Arabidopsis thaliana: one gene and its partner. The protein of the gene in region 2 interacts with the protein of the main gene of each other region in a pairwise test. Each region holds a gene or a part of one and is shown on either strand. Other genes may lie near its edges.

The links. The genes of interacting proteins can lie anywhere in the genome.
Region 1: the proteins of AT5G45190 (region 2) and CDKC2 interact in a protein complementation assay, tested with the Arabidopsis thaliana proteins (one study listed by BioGRID).

What each region holds. Positions count from the first base shown.
Region 1 is NC_003076.8:25,953,475-25,960,420, reverse strand, and holds CDKC2 (cyclin dependent kinase group C2), read right to left. Parts: upstream 5,048-6,946; 5' UTR 4,925-5,047; coding exon 4,812-4,924; intron 4,416-4,811; coding exon 4,334-4,415; exon of another isoform or gene 4,272-4,333; coding exon of another isoform or gene 4,236-4,271; coding exon 4,145-4,235; intron 4,040-4,144; coding exon 4,010-4,039; intron 3,897-4,009; coding exon 3,787-3,896; intron 3,696-3,786; coding exon 3,623-3,695; intron 3,541-3,622; coding exon 3,420-3,540; intron 3,313-3,419; coding exon 3,195-3,312; intron 3,097-3,194; coding exon 2,957-3,096; intron 2,864-2,956; coding exon 2,806-2,863; intron 2,723-2,805; coding exon 2,652-2,722; intron 2,529-2,651; coding exon 1,994-2,528; 3' UTR 1,616-1,993; coding exon of another isoform or gene 1,538-1,615; 3' UTR 1,530-1,537; intron 1,455-1,529; downstream 1-1,454. Other genes in the region: AT5G64970 (Mitochondrial substrate carrier family protein), read left to right, coding at 1-414, 590-893, 981-1,448, 1,538-1,615; AT5G64950 (Mitochondrial transcription termination factor family protein), read right to left, coding at 5,359-6,534.
Region 2 is NC_003076.8:18,276,017-18,284,274, forward strand, and holds AT5G45190 (Cyclin family protein), read right to left. Parts: upstream 5,859-8,258; 5' UTR 5,702-5,858; intron 4,750-5,701; 5' UTR 4,718-4,749; coding exon 4,493-4,717; coding exon of another isoform or gene 4,491-4,492; intron 4,428-4,490; coding exon 4,404-4,427; intron 4,302-4,403; coding exon 4,284-4,301; intron 4,063-4,283; coding exon of another isoform or gene 4,056-4,062; coding exon 3,981-4,055; intron 3,641-3,980; coding exon 3,506-3,640; intron 3,280-3,505; coding exon 3,104-3,279; intron 3,015-3,103; coding exon 2,863-3,014; intron 2,760-2,862; coding exon 1,792-2,759; 3' UTR 1,604-1,791; downstream 1-1,603. Other genes in the region: AT5G45180 (Flavin-binding monooxygenase family protein), read right to left, coding at 121-570; AT5G45200 (Disease resistance protein (TIR-NBS-LRR class) family), read right to left, coding at 7,951-8,258.

The DNA.
Region 1 (6,946 bases), 7.7 Mb from region 2:
AGCTGAAGCAATCAGATCAGAGTCATTAGATCACAATGGTCAAATCATCTGCGGTGGGTTGTTTCTCGAAGAATCTCTTCCTTCCTCGTCTGTCTCTTTTCTTTCGTCGAAGGATTGTTCCGTCAATTCGTGTCGCTTCAGTCAAAAGTCGAGTTTTTTGAAGTTTAGGAGACGAAACGGGACCAGGGAACCTCTGTTTCTGTCTGTTAGTTTATCGATTAACGAGAGTAATGGTGAGGAAGAAGAAGGTGAAGGGTATAATGGTCAAAACGGCTTTAAATCGGAGAAAGGTTCGGTGTTGATCGGTGGTGGTCAAGAATCTAAGGAGAAGCGTAGGGTTAAGGAAAATGGAGCAGGAGCTCTCAACACAACCAAGCATTTATGGGCTGGAGCTTTTGCAGCCATGGTTTCAAGGTCTCTCCTTCTTCTTTACTTATTCTACGAAACTCTTGAGGTCAAATGAGATTGAGTGTCAGTATAAAGTTGTAGACTTTAAGTGTTGGGGTTACTTACTGATATGCTTATTTGAGATTTTGTATTGATTTGGTTTGTTGTAGTTTGGTGGCTCATTGGGTTTTGGTTTGAGCAGAACTTGCATTGCACCTCTTGAACGGATGAAGCTAGAATACATTGTTCGCGGAGAGCAAGGGAATCTTCTTGAACTCATTCAGAGGATTGCAACAAATGAAGGGATTAGAGGATTTTGGAAAGGGAATTTGGTTAATATTCTCAGAACTGCTCCCTTTAAGTCCATCAACTTCTATGCATATGATACATATAGAGGTCAGCTTCTGAAATTGTCCGGGAATGAAGAAACGACAAATTTCGAGAGGTTTGTTGCTGGTGCAGCTGCCGGAGTAACAGCTAGTTTGCTTTGTCTACCACTTGATACTGTAAGTGGAATCACAACAAAAACTTCATTGAGCTTCTTTTACCATTCTCTGGAGGTTCTTTAGCATTACTTTGGTTTTGAATTGCAGATAAGAACGGTTATGGTGGCACCCGGTGGAGAAGCATTAGGTGGTGTAGTTGGTGCATTCCGTCACATGATTCAAACTGAAGGTTTCTTTTCCCTATACAAAGGTCTTGTACCTTCACTTGTTAGTATGGCTCCATCGGGAGCTGTGTTCTACGGTGTCTATGATATTTTAAAATCAGCTTACCTTCATACACCGGAAGGTAAGAAACGGCTTGAACACATGAAGCAAGAAGGTGAAGAACTTAATGCTTTCGATCAACTCGAGCTTGGTCCCATGAGAACTTTGTTATATGGAGCAATCGCAGGGGCTTGCTCAGAAGCAGCAACATATCCGTTTGAAGTTGTGAGAAGGCGTTTACAAATGCAGTCACATGCTAAAAGGTTAAGCGCAGTGGCTACTTGTGTGAAGATCATTGAACAAGGAGGTGTTCCTGCTCTATATGCTGGCTTGATTCCCAGCTTATTGCAGGTTTGATTCCTTAATACTAGTCATAAATTAATCTCTTGAACCAGCTTATTGCAGGTTTTACAGCTTTGTGAATTATCTCACTATTGCAGGTTTTGCCTTCCGCGGCAATCAGTTACTTTGTTTACGAGTTCATGAAAGTTGTTCTGAAAGTAGAATCATCCGCATAAGACAATAAGCAATGAGAAATGACACAATTACTGCTGGAGCTGCTTCAGAGGAGAGTTTTTTCGTTTTCTTTTTGGGGTTTACACTGATTCGTGTAGTTTTTCCACACTTCATCGAAAACAGATAAGAGGTTGTGAAACGTTTTTTTGCAAGAAATAATAAGATTTGGGTAAAAATCCAATTTGGTTTCCTGTGTTCTGATATATAAACCTTGATTTAAACATACAACAATCACAGAATGTTTGGAAGAATGCCATTAAGACAAGAAATCAAATGAAAATAGATTCTCTTTCGCGAAGATAAGTCTTCATATCTAAAATCACAACTGCCTTAAAGACATCAAGCCAAGACCACACCATACGAGTCTCTTTGAGTTCTCTTTACGGTTGCCATCCATATTGTTGGTTTCTAGCACCACCCATAGGGTTCTGACCTCTTCCAGAGCCACCAGATCCACCATACTGACCACCACCTTGTGAGTAGTTGGGTGGTCCAACACCATAGCCACCGCTAGGTCCTCTAGGACCGGCGCCATATGGTGCACCACGACCTTGTGGAGGATATGCTCCGCTGCTGTAACCTCCACGGCTCTGATTATTATAACCACCAGTCTGGTTTCCGCTAGGAGGGTACCGGTTTGGAACAGGTGCACCACCACGGGGCTTTCCTCCATAGTAATGGCCACCAGCAGGTATTTGGGGTGGTGGTGCGTTGTTGTTCATAGGGTGGTTTGGTCCAGCAGGCCAAAGTGGAGCGGCATGAGACTGGCCAACACCGTGTTGCTGTGGAGGTAAACGAGAATGTTGCTGCTGTGGATGCTGCAGTTTCTGTTTTTTGGCTGCTTCCTCATTATGACGCATCTGTTGCCGTTTTTTCTTTGTCTGGAACTCATGTGATGATTCATATGTCGGTAGACTGTTGACATAACACAGTTTCAGTACAAGCTGAATCACTCACTAATTGTTCTTGATCGTCATTTGTGATGTATGATGAACCAAATGGGTTTTCATAACAAGAAAGTTAAGAGAATTTGATTACCTCTTTGGATCACATGGCAGCGGATCAGTCCAAAAGTACTCAGCATCAAGAGCATCCTTTGCGCATATTCTCTGTACCAACAGACAGGAAAATGAAAGGACTTAAATGTCTAGACCAAGGCTCTTAATTCTCTGTATTAAAAATTCTTTGGTACCTGAGATGGGTCAAGTACCAACATTTTCTCAAGTAGTTCAAGGGCATGGCGATCAAAGCTATAGCAGAAGAGAAAAGGACCAAATGAGATCTCCTGGATCAAAGTAACTGTTGCATAAAAGAGTCGCAACTACATAATGGTTTATACTTACTGTCTGTAGATCTCCCTTACGCGTCTCTTTAAGGGCCGAGATGATTTCATTTGGTTATACCAAGGCATCTTGGAAACTCCAGGCCAGTTGCTTTCATCAGGTGATCCACAAAGCTCATAAATCTTATTCAATTGTTCATTCTGGAAAGAAAAAAATATGACTAAAACGCTAAGTGGAAACATCATCAAAGAACACTGTAATAACACACACCACGATAATCATAAGATGAAATCCTGACCTCAGTTTTCCCAGGCAAGATTGGTTTTCCATTCAAAAGTTCAGCAAATATGCATCCAACTGACCACATGTCAATCGCTGGTCCATATTTAGTTGCACCAAGTAACAATTCAGGGGGCCTACAGCAATAAACAATGCATAAGTAGAGAAAAAGCTGCACGTATAAGCAATACTTATTCTTTGTCACTTTTTTGTATATAACTTCAAAGTTTGTAGGCATACATACCTATACCACAAAGTGATGACACGATTTGTGAGGTTTCCAGTATGATCATGAGAATATGACCGAGCAAGCCCAAAATCCGCTAGCTTTAAATTTCCCTCATTGTCAATAAGTAGATTCGAACCTGCACCAATATATTATAGGTTAACTAGCAAATAAAGACAAGAGAACAAAATGGTCAACAATGTATTTTGGGATATATTCACCTTTTATATCACGGTGAAGCACTTGATTCACATGACAATAGTGAAGCCCAGTCAGCAGTTGCTTCATGTAACACTTTTTTACATATGTTCAAATGTCAGACAAAGTCGGAACAATAAGGGTTTTTGCAAAGGCTACTACAACAAGGTGTCTAGCCATGCAATACCTTTATCTGAGGAACCGTAAATCTCAGTCCAGGACGATCAGCAAGTCCAGTCAAGTCATGATCCATGTACTCAAAGACCATGTAGATTCCACCCTTGTATTTGTTATTATCTAAAATTGAAGAAAAGCAACAAGCTTTAGGCCGTAAGCAGTTTAAATAGATCTCTCATAGTCGCATCTAAGTTGTACAGAAAATATTTCGATCTTGAATAAGTTTCACTAACCTGGCTTTCCTTGATCATCCCTATCTCGACCTTTTAAAGACAAAAACAGTCACAAAACTCTACATATCAAACTTAACACCCCTTTTGACAAAATTTCTAAAGCAATTACAAGCTAAGATAAGAGTTCCTTATTACCTGGAGAAGTAACAATCTCTTTCAAATGGATGACATTTTCATGATGCAGCTTCTTCAGAATTTTGATCTCCCGGATAGCGGTTATCGGAAACTCCATGCAAACAATGAAAACGGAAATATAAGTCATACGAAACTCACAAAAATTTGCAACTTGTCAAAGCTAGTACTGGTAGTTCAAATGTAGCTTACCCCTTCTCTTTCATTGTCCATACGGATCTTTTTCAGAGCCACGATTTCACCAGTTTTAATTTCTTTAGCCATGTACACTTGGCTGCAAAACCAAATTTTAATATATGAATCTAAACACCATCAAAAGAGACAGCTTCAGAAGTTTATTGCAACATATATATATATATATATATATATATATATATATATATATCTACCATACCAAGAATCTGAGAATTCCCAAATTCAATCAACAAAATCGAATTTATTGAGATAAGAGGCAAAGTTAAAATTCCTCAAATCAACAATATATGGATCAATAACTATATATAAACGTTTCACAATCAAAATTGTTTCAAAAAAACTTATATATCAAGTGGCCCTAGCGAAATCGTTCAAATTTGAGAAATTTCAGTCTTGAGCACGAGTACTCTGACAAAACCAAATAAATTGGAATCAAGGAACAAAACCCAGAAAAAAAAAGAATGGAGAAGAATACCCGTAAGTTCCTTCACCAATCTGTTCAAGCTTCTCGAAGCAATCGACACTACGAGATCCCCAAATCGGTGGAGGCTCCTCTAGATTTAACTGCCCAAAAGCCGCAGCCGCCATTATTCAACCGAATCTGAAAATTACCGAAGAATTCTGCAGCTTCGCCCTTGTCGCTCCTCTTCTCGCCTTCTTCTCTCCGGCTATTCTAAGGTTTTAGCCCTACCTTACAGTGTCGGCTTCGCGGAAAAACCTAAGCTTTTTTATCCGGAATCAATCTCTGGTTTAAACCGGTTATTACAACGAACCAAAATCAAACCGGTTAAATTCATGAGTCAAATTTTTAAGACGCTTTGACAATCTTGAGTTTTTGCTCAAGTGCTGAAATAGAAAAAGAATCGCTTCATATGAATCCCATTATTATATGAGAAGCTTCAAGCTCGTAATAAAGGGTGATTTAAGAGTTACTTCCAAATTATAATGTTCAACACAGTTACGGATGAGCGAAGTTTGGATACAATGACAAAATTTCAAGTTTGGACTTGTGAAATCTACAATTAGATCTTGATACGATCAAGTAGCGTTTCATCGACTAAACACACGCACTTGTAAGCAACCAGCAGTTCCTCAGCAATCTCATCTCCAAATCTCACAACATATTTCTCTAGAAAAGCTTCCTCAGTCATCTCAACAATGCCAACCATGTTCTTCTTCTTCTTCTCCTCTTTTAACAACAACCCTTTTTCCCTCAAGATCTGCAAAACTTTAAGCCTAGGAATCACCCTCTTCTCAAGATTATACGACAACACACAAGGACGTTTCGCCAAAGCTTCCCTCTCTAACCCCATTCTCTTCAAGTAAAACTCAAACCCCAGTGTAAGCTTATCTTCTGAGCACCGGATCAAACCTGGAGATCTTCGTATAATATCTGTTATCTCATCTTCAGAGAATCCATTAGCCATAAACAACTTAACCTTTCGATCAAACGTTTTCTCGCTCAAAGAACTTAACGAGATAACAGCGTGCACAAGCATCCTCGAGTTCAAAGTAAAACCAAGATCCAAAGCACGAGAGACATATCCTCTGAGTTTTTCCTCAGAGAGATTGAAGATTCTTGGCTGTCTTCTAAGTAAAGAAGCAAGCTGAGACCCAACAATTCCACAGGTTTCAAGGTATGAGATGTTTGGTAAGAGAAACAAGTTAGGGTCTCTACTGAGAAGAAGCCAACCACATCTACTAAGAATGACAGGAAGGTCTTCATGTTTTGGGGCAACAATCGATTTCAGAATCTCAACGGTAGGAATCAATTTCTTCACTAGACTTACACCAACGACTGATGAGTTTTGAGAGACGAACTTACCAAGACCAGAGCCAGTAAATCCAATATCTTTAAAGAATCGAAGTTTGGGTTCTAGAATTTTCTCCACGTTGTAGAACATCATTCGAGGATGGACCCGGATCGATTTCTGGATCTGGGTATCGGAAAAACTGTAACTTTTAAGCATTTGAATCACTGACCGAGGTTGTTCTAGGGATTTGAGGTTAGGGTAACGCATTGCGATGGCAATTGCTAGAGGTTTCTGGAACCCATTGTCCCTGAGAAACTCGACGAACGCTGGATTTGATATCGAAGCTGGTGTCGCATTCGAAGAGAAATGATGCAACGAGAGAGCTCGATCCCATCTCCGACCAAACTTTCTGGAATTGGAAACGAGAGAAGCTAGAAATTGCATCTTGGAAACGAAAGTTTAGGGTTTTACCAAAGCTTATTATTTTGTACAGTTAAGAATCATTCATGACTTTTCAACTATGGTTTCTATTTGATAAGATTAATTTATTTGAGATACAGTATTCAAAATATTACTAAAACAGAGATGAGTCTAGTGAGTAGCTGAGTACAATGAGTATATTTATACGAAAAAGTTCCTAATTTCTAAATCTCTCTATACACAAGCAATACATGTGGCTCATGACCACTCTGTTGATGAACAACCAGAGTCTCCTCTCCAAAAATTATTATCGAACTTTAAGAAGACAGAGATGAGAGAGTGGTGGTGGTTTGACTAGTTGACCATCTCTTGCCTCTCAAGCTTCCATAAGATAATTTTATTTGCAGACCAGTGAAATTGTTAACACTCCTGTGAA
Region 2 (8,258 bases):
AAGAAAAAAAAAAAAAAAAAAACGATGGTTCATATACATATGATATGTAACATATCCCAACAATATGGATTTGCAAACAAAAATACAATAAGTGATTAGATGATATCAAATGTAACAAACCTGGATGTCTCCATCCCCGGTATTAACGGCAACTTCCCAGACAGGTTTTCCAGGCAACAAGTTGCCGTAAGCACCGAGGTCTCCCATCTGCAAAGTCTTACCATCACCGATGAACCTAAGTTCAACGACTTTGGAGTTGAATTTTATAAACTTTACAAGGTTAAAATGCTTTGCATAAGCCTCCAAATAATCCAATACATCGACATAAGTTGGGAAGCTGCTTTCGCCTCTGTTCGGCCAAAGGAAATCGGAGAGCTCATAGCTTACTCGAACCGACTGGAGCTTAGTTGTTTCATACGTACATTTTCTCCAAACACCTCCAATCGAATCAGAGGCTTCAAAGACTTGTGGATGGTGACGTGCTAAGTGCTTAGCGGCAGCTAAACCGCTAACACCCGCACCTATGATAGCTACTCTTGATGAAGTATGCATATTGTAGTTGTAAGCCATGAAAAAGATTATGAAATAGAGAGATATTATAAAACTTTTTATGTGGAAAATATTTTGAGATTTGTTGATTTGCATAGAACATCTTTATAAGGTGCTATTGGGTCGGATCTTGTCTAGTCGGATCGGATATAGCTATTTGGGAGCATGTAAGTTGAAAGTATAAGAGTTTTAATGTCAATTAAAACCAATGCTAAGATTAAGAAAAGTGACGTCATGATTCTGACGTTTACAAATGGCGTCAGTTATCTAAGTGAAACGAGATAGCTTGTCCCTTTTAAAAGCTAAAGTTTGGATATGTGCGACACGCTATTAACAAAACAAAACTAAATAATTTCTTTACGTAGGTTCAGGCTTCTTTTGCCAAACTCTAGGTTGGTGGAAGTTGATTTTTTTATATTTTATATTTAGTCTAGGAACAGAATGTTCTACTCTATAGATCTCTTCCTTTCTTTTCTAGATAACAGAAGAGTTACATATTTAGTTATTTTCGTTCTTTCTTTCTACATGCTTTCTTTGTATTTATGCTTCCGAATCAGATGGCACTTCTCCGATAGGTCATACAAAATATCACTTTTCGAAGAAAACAAAATCTGACAGACTTAAAAGTACATATAGTTCATTTTGATACCGTACAATACAAAGGTTTCTCTCTTTTACATCATATATAACTTAAGAAAACATTGGTCGTAACAATATTTTGGCATCAAAAGTAAACTCAATTCAACAATGTACAGTAACAAAGAAGTTATCAAGTGGACTTAACCACAACCTATACATTACTTCCTATGACCTGACACTAATTTTACCGTACTAGAGGAAACTTTTTCACAATGCGCATCAATATAAGGAAACGAAGTAAATGTGACTATGAAGTTGCCAAGCAGAATCAAACCTTAGCCCGGTTTAGATTAGATGGAAAAAAGCAGGTAATTATGCATAATTAAAGAACCCTAGCATGGAGTGGTTACAGGAAGAAACACCTAATTAGCTTCTCAACATCCTTTTAGGATGATGAGTCCTAGTTCAAGTCGTTGGATTGTGCAAAAATGCCACGAATAGATATATAATCAACATAAAATACAGAGAGCATGGTTCCAACGACTGAACCGACCCATGTAGAAGTCAAGTTCACATGGTTGGGCATCGAAGTGCCAAAGGTCTTTTAAAAAGACCATTTAGATGGAATACAAAGAGTAGCAGTTTTAATAATCATTACCTCTCTTATGAATGGTTATTCTCTTGTGAGTGTCTTCTGTGCTCTCTATCACCATGATGGCTACTACCTCTGCTCGTCTTATGGCTTTCTTCCCCATTCTCACTATTGTGGCGTCTCTTTCCTTCTGACTGCTTTTCAGGAGGGCTTCCCATTTTTCTCTTTCTGCTATGCATCATCGGGGACACATTGTTGTTTACCATTTCACCTTCCTCTGTATTTTTGACTTCTCCTTTAACATCTAAAATCTCACCATGTTCTGTACCCATGAGATCAGAGTTCTCCGCCTTTGGCCTGCTCTGTACTTTCCTTTCCTTCGTCTTTTCATCCTCAACAGCTAGTTGCACATCTTCCAGTTCTCTTTCAATCAAATCATCCTCATCCATCAAATCCTTTTTCCTCGTTCTTTCACCTAGCAACTTCTTAGCTTTCTCTCGTTTAGCCTTCACCTTATCTCGAAGCAATTTCAAATCTTTTGGCGATTGGCTGATTAGGGCATCACCCACATCAACATTTCGAGATTTATGAACAGCACCATCATCTTGTAGCTCTCCACCCTCTCTTTCTGAGTTGTCTTTCCCAGGTCCCTCAACTAAAGGTCTAGAGTTATGGGGGGCTTCTCTCACATTGTCCTTATGGGCTGGATGGCTTTCAAGATGTAGGCTGCTTTCTTTTGTTTCTCTCTCTATCTCCTCTTTGTTATCGACACTGACATTAGCTGCCTCACCACCCCCATTCTCATTGTTCTGATTCAATACTCCTTTGGATGAACCCCCATGATTATCAGAATTTGATTGTTCATGGGTTGAACGTACTGATGACGTTTGCCTAGAACCAACATGCTCATCGGTTGAAACCGCATTTCTGGAGCCTGGTCGCTGAGCTGACCCTCCACCTACACTACTCTCGACTTCACTTCCTTGAGATGCAGGGACACGATTTTGCTCATAAAGCTCAAGCATTTGGTTGCTAACATCTGAGATATACAAAAGACGATTACTCTTGAAATCATAAAGAAAAAGGGAATGGAAGTCAAACAAGGAAACAAGAATTGTCAAGTCAATTCATATTGTACATACCCTCCAGTTGTCTGGGTGTGACATCAAATTCTTGCCACCAAACCTTCTCTCCATCTGATGGTAACTTCACTTTAAGGAACTTGGCCGCAAGAAATATTGCACCAGCCGCAATATGATGAGGCTTAAATTGCAGGCAGAGAGATGTCCGTAGACTGCAAGCCACTTTTCATTGTATGAAGACGAAAATACAAGGCACATAGAATTATTGGAAGCTTTAGAAGGAAATAGTTCTTGAACGTACCCATCATTAACAAAATTCCATGCAACTTGGGCAAGTGCATTCTGTGCAACCTTAAATTTCTTTATTGCTTCTACCAGGGGTTTATAAGGATGATAAACATTGAGGTCAAAGCCTAGAGTGGAAAGAACAATTTTTTCTCCGTTTAATATAAGCTCTTTTTGTTGCTCATATACTTCCTGAAAAAGTGATATAGGTCAAATACATTTTGATATGCTGACCAACAGACAATAAATCAGGACCAAAGGACCATGGTTCTACAAAACAACGAAGCAAAGTCTGTAGCTAATACTAAAACCTCAATGTCAAATAAAACAAAAGATATGGGGAAAAAATGATACGTTCATCTATAACTAGTAAAACAGAGGTGAGAAATTAGGAAGATTCAGTAGTAAGATGGAATACCTTTTGCTTGATTTTCTGGGAAGCACCAGGATCCTTCTTGTTTATAATCTCATAGGAGACAAAAATAACATCTTTCAAGGGCCGTGGAGTTTCCTCAACCTTTCCAGCAAGGAACATGCATACAGTTGCAATGGTCTGCAGAAACAACATGAAGAGAGAGCTCAGTAAAGATCCGAGTATTTTTTTCCGCTCTAGAAGAAATAACAACAATCACAATTCACTAATTCTGCATAGAATAAGTAAAAAAGAAAAATCTAAATCAAAGTGGTAGCGAAACTATAAATGAAACTACAATAATGAGCTCTCTATAAATACCATGAAAAATGGCAAGGAGATGGATCCACTATATATAAAACCAATACATTTCAATACCTTAAATACTAGCCAGACTACAGCATAGTGGTTCAAACAACACAGAATAGAGTCATTTTTTTTTAAGCATTCAACTTGTTCAGGTGCAAAACAATAAACTCACCCTTCTGTCATTCTTTGCATGTGATTGGCGAAAGAAGAATCGATGACAGAAGATTATCGCTGTAGCTATTGTAACCTGGGGACTGATTGGAAAACTATATCAGCGACTTTCCAAGAGAGCCAAAAATTGAAATCTCTGAACAATGCAGAAACCATGACTACAAAAGCAAAATTAAGACAGTGTGGCAGTTATGTCTTCACCACTAATAACTGTCTCTTCCTTGTATTCATGCCAAAGAAAGAAAAATTGAGATAAAATAAACACAACTTCTACAACTTTCCGTTTAAAGGTGCTAGAACTAACATCAGTACAAACGTATGCCTAAAACCATCAGCAGCACATCAAATTCCAATTAAACGAAACCTATATGTAAAGGGGTAACTATTATCTGTCCACAATGATGATGGGACGGATTGGACGAACTATAATGTCAAGAAACCAAGCCAACTTGAAGCAGTTAAAGGAACAATGCACAGAAAGAAATCTAAGATGAGGTGATAGAGAACTTACACTTTCAATCTCATGCCCAAGTCCTGCAAAAATGTACAGTAGGATTTGCGGAGGTATGTTTCCTTCTTTAAGTCAATACCATCCAACCTTGACGGTGAATTCTCTTCTATTTCTTTTCTTCCAAAATACCAGCGGGAAACCTCTTCTTGCTTTTCATGGGAATTCCTTGAGTGTGATGAAACTCCACTCTCACTGTAAGAACATTCCCCAGCTAGTACTCCAGCCATTAGTATCTTCTAAAACCAAAAATTATCCCCACCTAACAAAAGCAGAGAACCAAAATGTGCATCACTTTACAAATAATAATAAGCCTGAAACTCAACACTAGAAAGGACAATTAAAGAGAACATAAGAAAAACCAGATCGATTCCCCAACAAACGAAGCTATGATCTTTGTAATTGCATTAAAACCGTATCTTTGAATAACAGATAATCTTATAAGCATTTAGAAAACTCTAAGAACAGGAATCAACTGAGGTTTCTAACAGTACACAGAAGGGCACAAAGGGGGAGATACTGATTCATGATTAGTGTCGTAAAGCAGAGTAGCAAAATGACAGCAAAGAACCAAAATTTGCTTCACTTTATAACAATCTGTGCAACCTAGCAAAAGCAGCGGACCAAAATGGGGCATCTCTTTACAATGGTAATAAGTCTGATACTCGACACTAGATAGGATAAGAGATCATCAGAAAAAGTAGATAGCTATGTTTTTTATACCCGCATTCGAACTTTGGCTTTGAATAAGAAATTAGCTACACGGAAGGGCACAACGGGGAAGAGACTAGTGACATGGCTTCAAGGAAACATAACCACATAGTCTAAAACGAGAGTCAAAGGGGATAAATCTTCTACAAGCTATGAACATGAATCATGCAAAGGATGAACCTTTACGAATTGCAAATCATGGAATCGAACTTGTGGTAACAACTTGATTAGGCTAAAAATTCATCACCAATTAGATACATTCGATCAAAATCCCAAAATTTTCTCAAAACACGAAACGATACCTAGAAAATTAGTAATTGAGCAGGAAAAAAACAGATCCAAAGGGTTTCTATAGAAATTAACCGGAAGATGGAAAAATTCGTTGAGAGATTCACTTGACGGTGGACAAAAAAGAATACCCAAATCGAGAGGATAAAGGAAATCAACGAGAATTTAAGACAGTAATTGAACGAGGGAGGGAAACAAAAAGATGGATACTTTACCTTAACTTCAATGGAATTAGCTTCTCTAGTTGCGAATTGCAGAAGAAGATGAAGAATAACGCGTGAAAATCAACAAACCCTAACCCTAGAGAGTCGCGAGAAAACGAAAGAGGGAAGAAGAAGAAAAAGGGGATAGGAAGTATTCTAAAGAGTTGTGATATTAAAAGCTGAGACCAGATTCACTTCTTTCCCTTTTTTCACATTAAAAGAATATAAATAAATTCATAAGCTAATCACTAATCGTCTTTATTGATATCTTTAACATTTGTTTTTTGAAATGTGATAAGAACAAAAAGAAAATCGACGGAAAAAAAAAGAAAAAGAAAAAGAAAATAGGAAACAGTTATTAGGAATTAGAAATCAAGAGATAAAATAAATATTAAAAGCTTATTATATTTTATATAGGCCTAGGTTATAAAAATGCGACTTTATAATTTTTATTATTTAAAGTAAATTTTTTAAAGTTGTTAACTCAAAATGACCGCGATATACGTAAATCACAATATATACATATATCACAAATTAAATTTTAATTATCTACTAAAGCTTTTGAAAAAATATAAAAATTTCTTCAAATATGTTTTTTTTGTGTATTTTGTCAAAAGTTTTGTTTTTTTCTTTTGTTTTGTTAAAATAACTCCAAAATTTGGATGTCAACTAAACATATAAAATGGTGAGATGTATAGATAAAGATTATAATAAAATATTCAATAGTATCGAAGATGAATGAGAATTAAGTATATATATGTTTGTGTAAAACATTTATGACAAGTTAGCAATATTTATAGTTTAAATCACATAGTATACTGTAGTAGTTATTTAGTAAACAACAAAAAAAATTACGTTATTTAAAAATATTTAGAGAGAATATTGAGATTAGAGTTATAACATGGGGCAGATGTAGGTAGAGGAGAGGTGAGGCACGTGCCCCACACTCATTTTTCAATTTTTCATTTTTCAAACTAATAAATATGTATATTTTAGTAGTTTAAAAAAAAGAATTAGATTATATCAATGTAAATATAATTTCTTAAAATTTATGAAATTCATTGAAGTTGTGTCTAGGCTTATGCTTTAAAAAAAAGAATTAGATTATATCAATGTAAATATAATTTCTTAAAATTTATGAAATTCATTGAAGTTGTGTCTAGGCTTATGCTTTAGAAACTTTGATCAGATTTGATTTTTTTTGGATTTGGATATTTCTGGTAGAAGAAGAGACTATTATCCATTGGGGTTTTATGATTATTCGGTTCGGGTAGGTGTAAGATTTGGAATGGTCGGAAAAAACCTACAAGTTGTTCAATTTTAATAAAAATGGTTTCAATTAATTAAATTTGGTTACATTTTGCAAACAATTATACATTTTTGACAAAATATAACTAATCCGACTCGAACCCGAATTTAATATGCCCACAAAAAATCCGATAGGTTTCGGGTTTAGTGGGTAAACTCGAAAAAACCTAGTAAAATCTGAATAATATGTGGATATCTAATATTATATTAAAGTTTTTCTTTTTTTTCTTCTTTAAATTTATAAGTATCTTTATTTTTTCATATTTATCTATACCATTATAAACTAATTTAGATAAACACTCCATAACAAACAATTTAATTTTTTTTTATCTTTATAAATTAAAGGATCCTAAATTAAATTAGAAAGAAAAATAATAAGCTTAGCAAAAAAAACAAGAAACCCTTCCCAACAGGAAAAAGAAAAAAAAAAAAAAAAAACACAGAAACCCTACGATACATTGAGACATGTGATCTTGTAAATTAACTCGCGAGATTCCCAAAGAAAGTGAATATTAGGTTTTGATTTTGAAAACCTACCCACGAAGCAATCGATTGCTAGAAACAAAGTAGGAAACCTAGCCTAAAGTGCTCTGTTTCAGGGAGAGTCTTTCAATCAAATTGGGAGAATTAGGGCTAGTCAGTTCGTAGTTCGTGTTTCATTTTTTAGGTTGAAAAGGTCGTAAAACATTAACTAATTAACTTAAGAAAAATATTTGCCAACTTAAAAGATAATGACGTAAGGAATAAGATAGTTGTGTGCAGGAGACCCAATCAAAATTATCCCCAAAACTATGATTTGACGGATCCGTGGATGATACACCAACAATGCTTGCCGTTGAATTGAATTTCGATCGGACATTAACCGGGAAGCAATTCCGGTACAGTCCTCTCTCTCTTGCTTTCTGTACATATGCAAGTGCTTGTTTCATGATTTGATCTCTCCTTTTCTCTTGTCAATCCCGCCAAAATCTAAACACATTTAAAAACGAAAGGCAATGTGCGTTGTTAACGTCCCTCTCTATCGCTACCTCTCTAGTGGAACCATTACGGACACTCATCAGTACCTTCTTCTCACTTCTCTTTGGACTTTCTCCCATTAGTGAGCTTAATGTCACTAAGCTCTCTGTGTCTTCTTCTTCTTCAACTTCTCTTGAAGCTGCGAAAAGCATTGCTTCCTCTATGATTTCTTCACTTCCATTTTGGTAACAACTTTCTCCAACGTCCGTTATTGAACCGGAGCTTGTACCCCCACTGGTAGTTG